Linked DNA regions of Oreochromis niloticus. The protein of the gene in region 2 interacts with the protein of the main gene of each other region in a pairwise test. Links are inferred from orthologs where the notes say so. Each region holds a gene or a part of one and is shown on either strand. Other genes may lie near its edges. The genes, in order: ahcy and ankrd40.

The links.
Region 1: the proteins of ankrd40 (region 2) and ahcy interact in binary tests that used the Homo sapiens proteins (3 or more experiments, as listed by UniProt). The two-hybrid records come from large-scale screens. The link is inferred for Oreochromis niloticus from reciprocal best matches to the Homo sapiens genes ANKRD40 and AHCY.

The regions. Positions count from the first base shown.
Region 1 is NC_031970.2:14,730,483-14,738,795, reverse strand, and holds the start of ahcy (adenosylhomocysteinase), read right to left. Parts: upstream 3,456-8,313; 5' UTR 3,325-3,455; coding exon 3,297-3,324; intron 361-3,296; coding exon 170-360; intron 1-169. UniProt on the Homo sapiens protein: Catalyzes the hydrolysis of S-adenosyl-L-homocysteine to form adenosine and homocysteine. Binds copper ions.
Region 2 is NC_031969.2:16,507,724-16,515,897, reverse strand, and holds the start of ankrd40 (ankyrin repeat domain-containing protein 40), read right to left. Parts: upstream 3,885-8,174; 5' UTR 3,427-3,884; coding exon 3,293-3,426; intron 2,743-3,292; coding exon 2,594-2,742; intron 2,230-2,593; coding exon 1,588-2,229; intron 650-1,587; coding exon 468-649; intron 1-467. Other genes in the region: luc7l3 (luc7-like protein 3), read left to right, coding at 5,833-5,931, 6,639-6,705, 6,800-6,839, 6,935-7,079, 7,243-7,317.

The DNA.
Region 1 (8,313 bases), on a different chromosome or scaffold from region 2:
CAGATCTATATGCATCAACTTTAAAGGGACCTACAGTTTGTTCTCAAAAAGACATTACTATGTCTAAATGCAGAAAGTAAGAGGGCATATGTGCCCTTGCACAATGTAGGCAAAGTTACTGGAAGCTCTCTTGATAAATAAATATTAAAAAGCAGCTTTTAAATGTCACCTCAGCTCCGAGGGCAGTGAGGGTCTCGATGAGAACGGCAGTCTGCAGGGTCATGTGGAGGCAGCCGGCGATACGGGCTCCCTTTAGAGGTTTGGACTGACCGTACATCTCCCTCATCTTCATGAGGCCAGGCATCTCGTTCTCTGCCATGTCGATGGCCTTACGTCCCCATTCAGCCAGGCTGATGTCAGCTAGAAAAGAGACAGCAGGTTGTCAAAAGGAGTACAAAGATAAAACTGATTAATGCAATAAGCTTGCTCTCTGGTCCAGCATTCTCAGGTGGATGTTTTTTTTGTCAGGTAAAGCCTCATATATGCATCAGACTTGGTCTGTTTATTCAAGTCCAAAAGTTTAAAACTTGAGTGTTTTTCTTTAAGGAAAACACCTGTTAACATAAATAAATAAAAAAACAAATGGCAGTCATAACATTCATACGTTATTTGTCTGGAGTGTTCCATTTTTCAAAAAGAACTAATTGGAGGGAATAAATGCATAAAACCACATCATCAGGATGTGGTTTTGCAAATCAGCAACTCTGTTGTGTTTTAAACTGCAGTTTTATAAGTCTCAAAAAGGCAAATCTAATATTTTTAATTGTGCTGTCCAGAATACCAGCAAAATTGTGTGCAAGTTTAGCACCCTGTGCATACCCAGTTTCATCTGCACAGATTTCTTATATGAAATTGTATAATCTTCTCTTTTCTAATCATCTTGTTGTAGGTGGAGAATTCACATGACCACAGCTGTGATATAACAGATTTGCACTTTTGGAGGTTTGTCTCTACACTCCCTTCTTTCACTTTCATAACAGCTGCTGTTGCTGCTGTTCCACAAGTTGGTCACACTGAGGAAATAAAATCATGTCATGAACGGCATGCAATAGGGAAGTGTGATTATCCTTTTCAAATTGGAATGAGCCAAGTAAGCCAGATCTTTACAGAGAGCACGTAAATCTACAAAAAGTCTGTTTGTTCTTGATCCTGTTTCTTTGTTAGCACTTCAGCCTCTTGTTGCTTTGTATGAAGTGCACTTTCAGAACAACCATGTGCCTATATTAATATCAAACCATTCCTACAAAGTGTAGAATGTGTTATGTCATGTACATGTACATTACATGTAAAATAAATATAATTTCTGCATAAATATTAGGATTCAAAAATGAATTATACTGGGGTTATTCAAAAGTGGAGCAGTTCTTACACAAAATCTGATACTTGTCTTTGCCACAGACAACAGTAAATTACATCTCTTTGGCTTTCGGAGTTTGTTTGTTTGTTTGTTTTGTTTTGTTTTAGTTGTTGCTTTTACCATTAAGAAAGCAACTAAATTTTAAAGTGTGTAAACTGTGTGAGGGACAACAACAATGATGGCCAAGTGGCATTAAAATTAAGTTGACTGATTTGTTTTCCCTACAATGCCATCTGCATATTTGAAACCTACCACTAGTTAAGACCTTATTTATACACCTAATTTTTCTTGCTTTTAGTTTTAGACATAAATTCACAGCAAAAATTCCAGATCTATAAATAAATTTTCTGACCACTGTCATAATAATTTAATAACATATGGCAGCACTACCAGCCTTGCTCTCAGAAACATGCTGCTTTGGCTTGTTACTGTAATCATAGCTGTCGACCCACTACAATAGCCTTCTGGTTAGGGCTGTGCAATAAATCACATTTTAACTTCAAATATAAACAATACATTCAGTTCGAATGCTACAACAGAAAAACAAGTTTTGCAACAATTTGTTGTTTCAACTATGAATACACCTTTTTACTTGACAATGGCTTCCCTATAAAGGTCATGAATCTATTTTTTCTGTTTAGTTATAATTAGCAGTTAAAGGAAATAAATTAAAAAGTACATTTCTTCTTTCATAAGTTTATTAAACTTACCATTTCTCCAAAGTTAATGTAAGTTTGTAAAAGAATTGTTATTTATATATAATTACTGACCACAATGACTGTGGTTATGATTTTTTTTGTAATCAAGCAGCACTTGGGAAGGCAGTGTACAATACAAAAGACAGTACTGATTAAATGTTTGTAGTTAACTACTGATTAACCATTTGTAATTGTACTTGTAGTAAATGAGTGTTATTGCATATATTAACATATCACAAATTAACAGATTCAGCTATTGTGTTAAAACTCTTGACCCTTGGATTGCATGCGGACTTCGTCTCATGCCTATCAATTAGCGGGATATTGCCTAACAGCTTCTGTTTCTAGGCAGCTGCAGAATATCATCCACGGCAGGTGTGGTTCACATTTGGTGCATTTCAATAGACCAATTGTCCATTTTCATGGCAGACATAGAAGCACAGTTCAAATTAATTAACAGCTCAGTTATAGCAAATTGTGACTGAGAACCAAGTCTAATTCGGGAACAAAACCATAAAAACAAAAAAAAACAAAAAACTGTATTCCAACAGAGAGACCTGACATCAACATTATCAAGCTTACGCAAAGGCAAACACCACGTGTAGTGCTTCCGTTACTGGTTTGCAAGTCGCATTCAGTGCAGCTTTGTCTATGCCTGTTCTTGTCACTCACACAGAAACTGGCGGTGAAGCGCAAGTCATCACGGGAGGTGTAGTTTACAAACAGCTCGAACCAAAGGTTCTTAGCGACACCGGTTCCACTGATAGACTACAACTCCCAGAGGCTTTAGGTGAGCTTTCGTTCACGGAGCAGCCCATGCCTGATGCAAGTATGGCTGTTACATGTCGATTCATTCTCAGAAATGAATCAAAGTATGCATTATTCACATACCGGGAAAAGGAAATCTAAAAGTTAACTGCTAAAATGACTAAGAAACACCGACAAATTAACTGGACAGCTTGCTAAACTGCGGTAATAACATATCACGTTTCACCACATGCTAGCAAGTTAGCGGTAATAGAGTCCAGAAAGCCCTGCAAAGTCTGGGATAAGTAAAAAATTAGTCTTAGGCATACAAAAACATTTATTTCGGTATACGGTTGGCTCTACACTAAATTCAACGCCTATGGGAACCGTTACCCAACCTGCAAACTTAACGCATTACTAGCTAACTAAAAGCGAACGTGCTTAGCTTAACTTGATATACAAGTACGGCAGAAACAATAAACATTGACACTGACCAACTTTGTAGGGAAGTTTCTCAGACATGGTTGTTTTGTGGTGTTACGTTCCGGTAAGGTTGAGAGAAGCGGGAGCCTGGCCGACGGACAGAGGCAGAGAGGGAGGGACGAAAACATGACGGCTCGGTTTTTATCGTCGAAGCCTCATCCAGGCGAGTTCACTCGACAGGGCGACTAGAACGCGCTTCTCTTTTGAACTCCGATTGGCTGCAGCAGCTCCCGCCCCACGCGTAAACGACTTGATTGGGTAACGGGTGATGTGGGACGTCCAGTCAATCATGAAATGAGGTCTTGAGGCGAGAAGTTTGAGTGTGTAAGCAAGTTCAGGCTGGACTCTGTCGGCGGTTTCCTGGTTTGTAGATAAGTGACAGTGTAAACTACTTTATTCTATTGTGTAATGCCGACTGCGAAAGTTGAATAACATTTTGCACACAGGCAGCTGCTTTACGGTTATTCCTACACATACTCCAGTGTTCTTCCTATATAGCAACTTCAATAGGGTCCTCTTGTAAGTTTTTCCTTTGTTAATAAATATGTTTTTTTAATAATATAGTTTTTGTATTAGGTCAATTTAAGGCTGCAGCTGAACTCAGTCTTCAAGAACTATGAATTTATGCTTAAGTGGGAAAGCAAAGTTGTAGGTTTTTTGGAGGCAAACATATACTATATCGTGAAAGGCCACATAAAATCACAGAGCAGGAAGCTGAGGCGCATAGTGCGCGGAGGTCACCGGCTATCTGCAGACTTAATCCCTACAGTCCTCCAAACGTCAAGTGGCCTTCAAATTGAAAAACAGTGCATGGAGAGCTTTGTGGAATGGGTCTCTATGAGTGAGCAGCTGCATCCAAGCCTTACATCACCAAGCGCAATGCAAAACCGTTGGATGCAGTGGTATAGAGCAGGCCACCACTAAGACGCGTTCTCTGTAGTGACAAATCATGCTTCTCCGTTCAGAAATCCAATGGATGAGTCTGGGTTTGGTGGTTGCCAGGAGAACTTGTCTGCTTTGTGCCAAGTCTAAAATTTGGTGGAGGGGGGATTATGATGTGTGGTTGTTTTTCAGGAGTTGGGCTCTGCCTCTTAGTTCCAGTGAAAGGAACTCATAATGCTTCAGCATTCAAAGACATTTTCATGCTCCCAACTTTGTGGAAACATGTTGAAACAAGAAGGGGTCATCCCTGTTTCAACATGACTGCACACCGATGCATAAAGCAAGGTCCATAAAGACATAAAGAGCAACTTTGGTGTGGAAGAACCTGACTGGCCTTCACAGACTCCTGACCTGATAAAACCACCTTTGGAATGAATTAGAGCTGTGAGCCACACCTTCTGATCCAACAATAGTGTCTAAATTCACAAATGTACTTTTGTAAGAATGGTCAAAAATCCCCCAAAATACACTCCTAAACCATGTGGAAAGACTTTCCAGAAGAGTTGAAACTCTTATGGCTGCAAAGAGTGGGGCGACATTGTATTAAACCCTATGGGTTAAGAATGGGATGTCAATCAAGTTCGTATGAGTGTTAAGGCAGGTAAGTGAATACTTTTGGCAGTGTAGTGTATTTATCCCACAAGTTTTTCAACTTTTTGGTTTATTCACACAATATTTTATAATATTTAATCATTTTAATTAATATTTAAAAATGTAATATGGTTAGGTAAAAGATGTGTTTTTCAAATGTTTTACTAATGAGATCAAGTGGTCAGTAGGATCATATGTATGCTTTGGTTCCTAAACTTTGACTGGCTTTCAAATCCACCGTAGTCCCGACATCTTTGTTGACATTTAAACCCCGCACGCTATGAAAATGTGTGAGATGTTTCCTTTATTCAGTTAATTACACTTTAATTTCGAAACATGTTACTTTCATTGTATCTCCTTGTTCAGGTCTACCTTTTTTTTAAACAATATTTTTATTAATTTTCATTTTCACAAACAACCCATAATTACATAATATAATATGGTGTACAGTTCACAGCAATAAAAACAAAACAAAAACAAGGAAACTGAACACAGAACACCAGCTCAGATCCATCTAAACAATACCTGGGGTCCCAGTAATAATATACAGCATGAGAACTCAAGAAAATCCTTGTAGCATGACATTAGAGACATCAGGTCCCACATATTTCAAGCAGGGTTCTCACACCATAAAGAATTGGTCTGTTTTTGAGTGTAATATACATGTAAGATATTCCAGTGGCACTAGATCAAACACTACTCTTTGCCAGCCTTTAACAGTAACAGTTGGTACTTTTTCATTAATGCATGCAATCACCGCATAGGTGAGAATACAATACAACCTACTATTATTCTTGGAGATTAAGCGCTGGCTTGGGAGGCCCAGAATGAGAGACACGGGGTCCATCTCCAATTCAAAACGCAAAATCGTCTCTATTTCAGACAACACACTAGACCAGTACCCTTGCAGTTTCAAACATGACCAAAAGCAGTGAGTTAGGGTACCAATTTCTGTCTAAGGTCTACCTTTTTACTCATAATACCTATTACTTGCCTAGATTTCTAAAGCTTTCATGATTATATAGCATTTATGTAATTATTTGTCTTTATGTCCCAAACATGATTCATATTTCCAAAAACAGTAAATTTACAAAATACACACACACAGATAGTTTAGTCTCAGTGGAACAATCTGTCAGGTCAGTGGAGCCACCCAGTGTATTACAGCCTGTAGACTGGATTACCCAGTTAAAGCAAGTTCATACAGCCACTCCCAGACAACACCAGGAGTCAAAAGTGTTAAACCACTTCAATTGCCAAATGCTGCGTGTCAGAGAAAACGGAAACTGCACGTTAAAAGTAGGGACACTAGTATAGGCTTTCAGACAGTGTCATCAAGTAGGCACTGATAGTCATGCGCTTGGTTATTAACAGGAAAAAGGCCATAGCTGTTCAATCACAGATTCTACATGGTTCACTAGAGGATACTTGCACAACCGGAGCTGGAGAAGCAGTAATGGAGGACAAACAACTGAGCCAGTCTTTGTATTGTGAGGAAAACAAATTCCAATAGTGCAGATTAGACCTGATTAAGCAGCTTTTTGCTTATGCATGCAGAGAATTTGACTGCAGTTTAAAGGTATGCTAGGTCTAGAGTGTGCTGGATTCATACTATACAATATTTGTTTATGATAAGATTTGTCAGTTTAATGTTGTGAGAGCCATACATTTTTGCTCTGACTTGGCAGTGACGTGACAGTATGCACTGGTCTCTAAGCAAGGACCTAAGCACCTTCTGTAGCTGATACTATAGTTTTGTTTTGTTCTGGTAACATTTATTGCATGTCTGCAGTCCTGTATAATTTGTTCATGTCATGATATAGGATGTCTGGGATCTCTTGGTATTTGCCTAATGTATAAAACCTTCTTTAAAGAACTATTTAGGTGAATAATTTTCTTCTGTTTTGCACTTTCTTCCTGTGATACATCCAGATATTATGGATAATTCATTTTGCATTCTGAGGCCTGTATAGCAGACGCAGACATGTATAATATAAGGTGACTAGATAACTGGCATATAAAAATACCACTTGATTTCATTAGCTTGTAACTACAGTAGATGAGTGGCTTAATAGCTCAAAGAACATGGTTGAGGTTTAATCTTCTAGCAGATAACCTTGTGAAAGGAGGCCAACAGCTGTCACCTGTATTGTGGGTTGTGTCCAGATCCAATCCGATCCGGCTATCAATGGATATCTCGTATTTTCAGTAACAATACTGCGCTATTAAATGTCTATGACACAGAATAACAGGTGCAAGCATTATAACCCTGCACTGTAAAATGTAATTCTAGATGTTTGTTATTTCAACATATTATTCTATATCAGTTTGACGATAGATGACTGAAGTTGTTGTTATAACATAGAATTACAAGTTAAAAACGTCCCAATTACACCAAAAAAAGCTAACTTGAAAACTCATGTCCAGCTAAATCAGAAACTTATGTGAACTTGACAATGTGGGTAAGTTGAGCACAGCAGGATTCAAAACTGCCTCACGTGACTCCTACCGAGGTGCATCATGGGGAATCGGCGGTTAACGACATGCTCACTTTACTTGGACGTTTTCTAATCGTCTTCTTTGGAATATGCTTTCAAGGTGAGTAACATTGGTTATAACTATAAGGAAAGAGAGCTACAAAAGTTGGAACATGTTTTGAATTTATGGCATGATGTGTGTTTTTCTCTTTTACCGAAATGTTTGCTTTAGCTAATGTAACTTTAGCCGACAAGGTCCAGCTTGTGTGTCATGACCAAACTTGACCTAATAAACTGACACATGGCCTTTTTTATGGGTTTAATGTGGTACTGACCAAATCACAAGTATTGTGCCGCTAGCTTTAAGGTTGTGCACTCAACCACTGTTGCGATATTAGCAAGCTAACTCAGCTAATTAATAAAGCTTATTTCATATTGTCTCTGTACTTGTAAATTTCTTTCAAGTTCACAGGCTGTTGTATTTTGGTGGAAGTTCATTTTGGGAATATTTCCAATAACTGGCTGGGTTCAAAAAGAACTTTTTGGCAGGACTCCGATGCTTGTTGTCATCTGTTTACCCCTATGTAATCACTTAAGTTGTTATTAACTGCTGCATGCTAAGCTGCAAGAGTGCACTGAGGATTGAGACAAAATATGGTCTACAAACCAGCATTATATTAGTTTTTATCAGATAGTCCTCCAGTGTGTTTATTTTTTGCTTTAATTCTATTGTGCAGTTATTTGTTACCCTGAAATGCTTGATGCTTAACAACAGCTCACTATTTTAACTTATTTTTGAACTCTTGTGACTAGTATGACTAGACTGTGTGAGTTTCCATACTAAAAGAGCTGTAGTGATAAAATAATTGGCATCAGAGACACTGATTTTTGGCATGGTATACTGCAGAAGTTTTTTGTTTTTGTTTTTTTGCATAATTTACCTTTTAATTAAACTGCATTCCCTGTATTGTAACAAAACTAATATTGTTTATATGTCAGAAAATTAGCAAACATGAAT
Region 2 (8,174 bases):
CTAAGCATGCATTATATACGACACGTCAGCCTGAGAGTGGCTTTGGTGCATTTTCATTAGGTGTGTATTTAGCACGAAATTACACAGTAGCAGAAGATGTCACACAGTCCTTGTAACAAAGGATATGGCAACCTATAATATTCACAACAACCTTTTGTTTAAAAGGTTTAAAGTTTCATAGAGTGAGGCCAATTTCTAACCACACAGACAGCAGACTAAATATACTCCACTTTGTCCCCTCCACTGAATTTGTTTGTAATACTATCCGTCTCATGCCCTCCTTTAAATGAGACCAAGAAATAATAATAATGAAGAGGAAAAAAAGCCTTTAAATGGCTGAAATGGTCTTTCCACATCTAAGATAGTATGACAGAGAAAATCGGTCGCTTGTTCTCCATTGTGTGGACATGACACTGTACAATAACATCATCAGCCTACACAGAGTAAGCAGGCTTTTGTGTCCGTACCTTTCTCAGCATGGTGTTGGGCAGCTTGCGGATCTTCTCCACGTGCTCGGCGCTGATATCCAACTCACGGCAACAGACTCGTAGAAGGGAACGATAGGTGAGCTCCTGGCGGTCCAGCTCCACCTCAATGAAGTCGTTCTCCCGTGCATTGGGGTTCTGGATACGCACCTTCAGTACCAACTCTAGAGAGCGAGAACAACAGCAATACATCTTTACATTAACCACCAAAGTGTCACACAGGCACCAGGTGCATCTTGTCATTTTGGCTGTAAAATCATAAAATAATTATTTTCTTTCAGGAACCATTTGAACTTTCTCTACAGCTCAAAGTGGTTGAGAAGTTTTGGTAATCTCAAGCACACATGGTAACATGTAACCTGTGGAAACGCAAATATATGATTTTTCTGTCTGTGCTCAGACAGCAGCACCTTATGAATGCTTTGTACTACTATGAGAGACTGAATATTCTTTCTGAACAGTTCATTTACTGATCATTTAAAAAGTGAAAAGAAAGGGTCTGTTTAGTTTTTATGAAAGCACATTTATAAAGAAAGCATGCTGGTTATATTTTGTCATAAAGACCAGTTTCTGGTTTGACAGGTTGACGACATCATGCAGACAATTTAAGTTGTTATATCTGTGATATTATTAGTAACTCAGCTGCAAATATCCATATTGCCATGCCACATGAAAGTTTTACTGTCAAAACATTCACCGACAAAGTGTCAAAGAGCCTGGTTCTTTCTTACCCCTGCTACGCCTGACACCAGAAGGTGTTTAGCAGTGTGCAGTAATTTAATGGGGCTCTGCTAGCTGCCAGGAAAACTCAAGGCAAAGGAGGAAGTTACTACTCTCAGCTAAGAAATCCTTACAGCATGCAGTTTCTAGAAAATAATCCATGCTGTTGGTTTTATATTTCTATTTGCATAAACATTAATCAAACAAGATGTATAAAAAGTAAACCGCACGTCATGTTTATTAGAAAAATGTGCTGATACTTGTGGTGCTGTACCTCGAAGCTTCAGAGTAAACCAGGGGAGCTGTTTCTTCCCACTTAATGTGTTTGAAATTGAGATAAACATTTCCTGTTATTTTAATCTTTAATTCTCAGTAAACCCACCTTGTACATTGACAGGGAAGGTGCTGGTGAAAAAGAAAGGCTGGAAGGCTGGCATGGCACCACCAGCCTGGCCGTAACTCAGCTGCTGCGGGATGGACTGCTGTCTGCTCACAGTTGGGTTTGTGCTTGCCACTGGGGCTTGGACCTGGCTCCCACCGTTGCTAGCCAAGCTGGGACTGGGTGAGGCCAGTGGAGGCGAACACACGGTGCCGTTGTGCACCACTGTGTGCGGGTAATCGGCGTGGTTGACGAGGTGAGGCTCGACTGATAGGTCCATGGGCACCGTGCAGTTAACGACAGCGTGACTGTGGGAAGCAGCCGTGCTGGGTGAGACACCGTTCTGCTCGTTCACAGGGATGAACTCCCCAGTCTGGGCTTGGCTGTGGTTGATGGTGGGATTTGAGGAAGGAGCGGAGGCATCAAAGACGAGGCTCTGTGATTTCCGAGGAGGCTCGTGCGTTGGCGAAAGAGATGCCGAATCACTCTGCGTGTCTTCAGCGTGCTCTCCAGAACCGTTTTGTGTAAGGTGAATCACCTCTGACTTCTTGTCCATCTTGGAATACATAAAGGGCGGGTTAGACAGGTAGTTGGGGACGATTGGCAACTCGGGCTCCTTCACTTCAGGCACTTCCTCCACCTCAACTGTTGCAATAATGATCACAAAAGAGGGGGCATTATTTCCTGGAAACAGACTCGAAAAAATAGCAAAGATTGCCGCAGATGTGTCAACACAAATGCCCAGTGTTATAACTGATTATAGATACACACTTCACTCACTCAATCGCACTTACACATTCATGCAGTACTTTTATCTATGCCTAAGCACTTCCTAACATTCATACACTGATGGATGCCCAAGGAAGCTTCAGCATGCAGATCAGAGGAGCCGGTATCGATCCACTGATGCTACAACTGGTGGACAACCCGCTCTACGGCCTGAGCCGTAACCAGCCCAGTTACACCGATGTGACACAGGGAGCAGCAGAGTGAGAAATGCTGACTTTACCTCCTAACAGTCTTTTGATCTCCGGCTTGGATGTCAGTTGTGACGCTAACTCATCCTTTGCTGTGAGGATGTCTTTGTCTGCTCCGCAACTGAGTAAGTAGGACACTATGTGCTTGTGATTCCTCTTGCATGCCCAGTGTAAGCACGTCCTGCAGGGATTATTGGAGAAACAAGACAATTTAGTGTTGTACAAAAAGAAAAGGAAAAATAATAACAGAAATATACTGTATCACTCAAGTGGTACCACCTCTCATTAAGCTGACTATAGTGTGTGGCACTGGCATACAAAATGGAAACATATAAATAATGTATATATTACTTTAAAACTTAACCAAAATCTCGATATGACTCTATTTGGTTCTTTATGGGTGCAAAGTAACTGATGATGGGCGCATGCGTGAAAATGTAATAATCAAAGGTGGGTTTGTGTTTCCGAACTCAATAACCAGGCTACAGCAAAGAGAAAAAGCTTGTGGTTGAAGCAGCCACTTTACTCAATACTTTGCTTGTTTGCTGGTTTTAAAGTAAAGCTAAAAGTGGCAGCGCTGGCTGATTAACAAGCCCTGCTTGGCGTAATAGGATAACGCTGAGCAGTGTTTTTAATCCCTGTAGCTCTGCTCTACAATGACTGCACTCAACTCCTGGCCGGCTGCAGTCGCGACCGAACAAATACTACTATAAATCGGTGAAAACACTTACCATCCGTTGATTTCGTTTTGTGAGTTGACATTAACCCCACTCTCCACTAACGCCCGCACTTCATCGATATCCCCGATGGCAGACGCCTCTCTCAGCTGCTCCTGTAGCTCTTTATCCAGCGAATTTGTGGACATTTTTGGTTCACACGGCTAGCGACGTGCGCTCATAGGACACGCAAAGGCCACGCGAATTATGTTGCCAATACTAATTAGCTAAATATACTGGTAACCGCTAGCATTAGCTACCAGGCTAACCTTACCTACTGGCTAGCTCGACGAGGTGCTAGCTTATGGCAGCAAATCGCTTTGGTTATTTCAACTACGTGTTGACCGTCTCTGGCGTTCACACGTCAAGTCGTGTCCCCGCCGCGTGTTTCTGCTGTTAGTTCGCGTTACAGTGGCACCACATGCACTCGCTATAAACTCATTCAATCAAGCAGTAGTGTCAGAGCTCCGTCAATGCACTGCCAAAAACACCGCCGCCTCGTCGGGGGGGCATCTTTAGATGTGACAACAGTGAGCACAAATGTTAGTTCCCCTCCGAGGAATCGCGTAGCCCGTGCGATTCCCCACGTAAATTGTGTGATACTGCCGTTGGCTGTCATGAATAAGGAAATAACTGGGAGATAAAAGTTCAAAGTACTTCAACTGTTTTTTACTCACACGTGTTGCAGGCAAGCTGGAATAAACCTCCCTACACTTATAATCGCTACTCCAGAAAAACCTAAACAGCTGTTGATTATTTGTCCCAAGCACACCTGTTACTTTTGTTTTTATATCCATTTTAATAAAGTTATAAATACTGGTTTTAAACTTGAAGTACATTTTTAAGCTGAATTTCCTCAGTATGCCACTAGAGGGGAGCAAACACCCACGATACTACACTAACTTGAACTTTGGTGTAAGATACACCAGGGATACTACAGCTGCAAGGCAGCAATTTTAAAGAATCACAGTTTCAGACTTTATGAGTGGCGAGGGGAATTGCAAGAAGACGAGAGGAACGAAGATAAGGAGTCTTAGTGGTAAAGTGAGGGAGTACAACTAAGTATTCAAAGGAAGAGGTTAACAAAGAAAAAGTAGACAAGAGTACTGGGAGGCTGGGTGTACAGCAAAGAGAAGTGGCAAAGGCTAATAGTGGATTGTATGTAAGGCTCTGGACACTAAGAACAGAGAACAGGAGTTGTATAAACTGGTTATGGTAAGAGATCAATGTGGAAAAGATGCATAGCAGTTTAGGGTGATTAAGGTTAGAGGTGGAAATGCACAAATGAGTGAAAAAAGTACGTTGAGAAGAGCGGAGGGCCGATCAAGAGGATTTCAGAATATTATTTAGTTTTCAGTGATATTAACTTTCTTAGCAGAAAACTAATATATGATATTTGAAATTATATTTGACAACAGCATAATAAAACTGTGAATTCTGTTTTGGCTCTGCCAGCCCAATAGTTTTAGTGGCCCCCATATGACTACCGTATAAAACATTTTTGGGAGGCACCACTGGATGTAAGAAGATGCAATGCTTGCTCTGAGTGTTGCTGTAAAGGTGCATAGAAACTCAGAGGGAGTTGAAATGAGTTACTAGATGGTAGTAAAACCTGTTATGATGTATGGCTAAATGAAAGGAGAGGAGACAAAGTTACAGTTCATAGATGGTGGACTGAAAGAGGACATGCAGAGGGTTGGTGTGACAGAGGAAAACTAAAACACATTGGGGACAATAACAGGAAATCTATGTGGACTTGCTTTAATAAATATTTGGTCAGCACTGAAGTCACAAAAGTATACATTTATTAATCATTTCTGGCAGTAATCGGATCTGGCAAAATCTGCATCACTGAGATAGATTTTGATGATGCCATAGCACTGCATCTGTGAAATATGCAGTCAGAAAGCTTCACGTGTGTTTGTTGTTATCAACATTCACTGAGTTTGAAGTTTTTAGTGTGACCGATGGGAACTGAGTAAAAGCAACAAGTAAACATTATATATTACAGTATCAAATAAAGAGCCAATGCCAGTGGAAAATAACATTAGTTCATCTCTGAATGTCCTTGTGTGATATCCTCTGATGAGCCTTTTCATACACCACCACAATCTGGCTATTCAATGCAGCATTTGTCTTCAAGAACCTTAAAGAAGTCCAAACGCTTTTCTTTCCAAGCTCATCAGACTAATCTGAACTTGCTTCCGTTGTAAACTTTCAAAATAAAACAAAGCACAAACATACGCAGTGCCGCAACATCTATTTCTGATCAAAATACAAATAGAAATTGCATATTTTGTCCGTTTTTGATCAATGGTAAAAGTTTGCAGCACTATACGGAGAACTGAATCCTGGACACGATGGTCAGACTAGTACTTCCGGTTCAGAGGCCGCGGGAGCAGCTCCTGGGCTGGTTGTACTCGGACTGCGAGCGGGCGTTGTTGTTACAAGGTCTGCCATTTTGATTAGAAGCACTTCGCGCAGCAGATGGTGTGAGTTAGGCCTTCTGGATATTATTGTAGTACTTTAAATTAAGGCTACATTCCCGCAGAAAAATGCTTTCTGCCGCCCAGTTACTCGACGAGTTGATGGGTCGAGATAGAAACTTGGCCCCTGACGAGAAGCGATCCAACGTACGGTGGGACGACGAGAGCGTAAGTTAGCATTCTAGCTACCATTAGCTTAGCTAGTTTTAAAACCTATTAACCGTGAGGTGTCCAAAATACGCGTGCATGGCGTGCGCGGTGAGTATCGGCTAGTTTAAGCAGTATGGCCTCCAAATTAAAATTTCTCGATTCACGCACAGAATCGATGGCGAAAAGCGGGCGGTTTGAGTCAGTGGTGCTTGAACACGCGTGTTAGCGAGATTAGCATCACGATTTGGTCATTCTTAAAAGGTTTCATAGGGCTCACTTCAGTTTTAGCAACTTGTTTTCTGGGTATAGTTGGGCTAATAGTTTAACTGTGTTAATACAAATGATTTCGATGTGCTAATGTGTGAAAGGACCTGCACATTACGTTCTCTAAAGGTTATGCTCTGCTTTATTGCATAAACTGGCATTGCGATGTCTGAAGACTTAATACGGTTACATACATGCTGCTTTGTATGTAATTCGGCATTAATATTTAATATTAATAATAAATACTGTTTTCCATGCTGTTGTGTTTTTGTTTCACTTGCAGTGTTGTGGGTATTTTTTGTGTTCTTAGTTCAAGCAGAAATTGATTAGGTAAATTTGTACGACTACCACATTCATTTGCTTATAGTTGGTCTAACTAACATGCTGTCACTTAATCCAATGTGATCTACTATGGAGGCACAATTTACATAAAACTGTTTGATATGTTTTCTTTTATTCAGGTCTGTCGGTACTATTTGTGTGGCTTCTGCCCTGCTGAGTTATTCACAAACACTCGCTCTGACTTGGGTAAGTTGGGAACTTTGTATTCCCAAAATGTATTATAAACTGGACAAAGCCCTTGAGATTTGACAATAATATGTTTATTGTTTTGGGTTCCCAGGTCCATGTGAGAAAATCCATGATGAAAATCTTCGAAAAATGTAAGTTCTTATTGTGGCTTTTTTTCTTTTTCTTTCCTTTTTTTTTGGCTTGATATTTTACACATAATTAACCAATTCTGTGTCGTTATATCCAGGTATGAGAAAAGCTCTCGCTTCATGAAGGAGGGTTATGAGCGAGATTTCTTGCGCTATCTGCAGTCACTACTGGCGGAAGTGGAGCGGCGGATCCGCAGAGGGCATGCCCGGCTTGCACTTTCCCAGGCTCAGCAGAATGCAGGGGTTCGTGCTTTTATTTGAGAACATCATTCTCAAACTCCTCTGTGCATCTTCATGTTTTCTCGGACCACAGTGCAAGATATGAATCTAAAAGAAAATAACATTACCTGTATGTTTCTGCTTAGGATGTATTGAACTTAGTTGTACTCATGTATTCATTCTGCAGGGCCCTGGTCCATCAGGAAAGAATGAGGAGAAAGTCCAGGTTCTAACAGAGAAGATCGAAGACCTGGTTGTGCAGGTTTGCCCGAAATCTTTAAATTAGTAGTGTTTGAGGAAAAACTGAAAGATTTGAACGCGGGTTCTTGCATCAGGATATCTGATGGTCTCCTACAAGTTCTTCTTCTAATGCCTTGCCACAGTGGAACACCTGCCTTCCTCTGACCTTATTACTAGCATCCTCCCCTGTCACGCTAACTCTCTGCATGTCCTCCTCCTTTACATCCATAAGTCTTCCTTCCTGGTTTCTCCCAATGAATATTTCAATATCTTTAACTCTGCCTCCTTGAGCTCTAAACTGAGTTTAACTCATACATCATAGCAGGTGCGACTACCATCTGATAATCCTACCCCTTCACTGTAGCTGCTATCATTCTGTTACAAATCACCCCTGACACTCATTCCTACCCACACCTCTCTGTCCACACTCATGTCTTCACCTCTCTTGTGCGGTCTGCATTACTTCGGCTGGTTGATCACATATATTTAAACTCCTCTACTTTAACTACCTCTGCTACTCTGCAGCTTCACTGTTCCACCAAAATTTGTGAATTTAGAAGGTATGTGGACTGCATGGCTAACTGTACATGCATTTGAAAAGACTACATTGGAGTCTGATAAAGGCTGTCCTGTCAAGAGGTTCACTGCAACCCACACTTGTGCAGTTTCTCCTTAAAATAATTGAATAACAAACAAATGTAATTTGTGAAAGGAGATTTTGAACCCTTTGGGAAAATAAGGAAAGGTGTTGCTCTTCACACTGATCTAAGTGTAAGCTGACTTCAGACTTGAAATCATTCAAATAGGATCAGCTACCTGTTGTGACCACAGCTGTTTTTGTGCATGTACTCTAGACTGTATGACACTTCAGATGCTTTT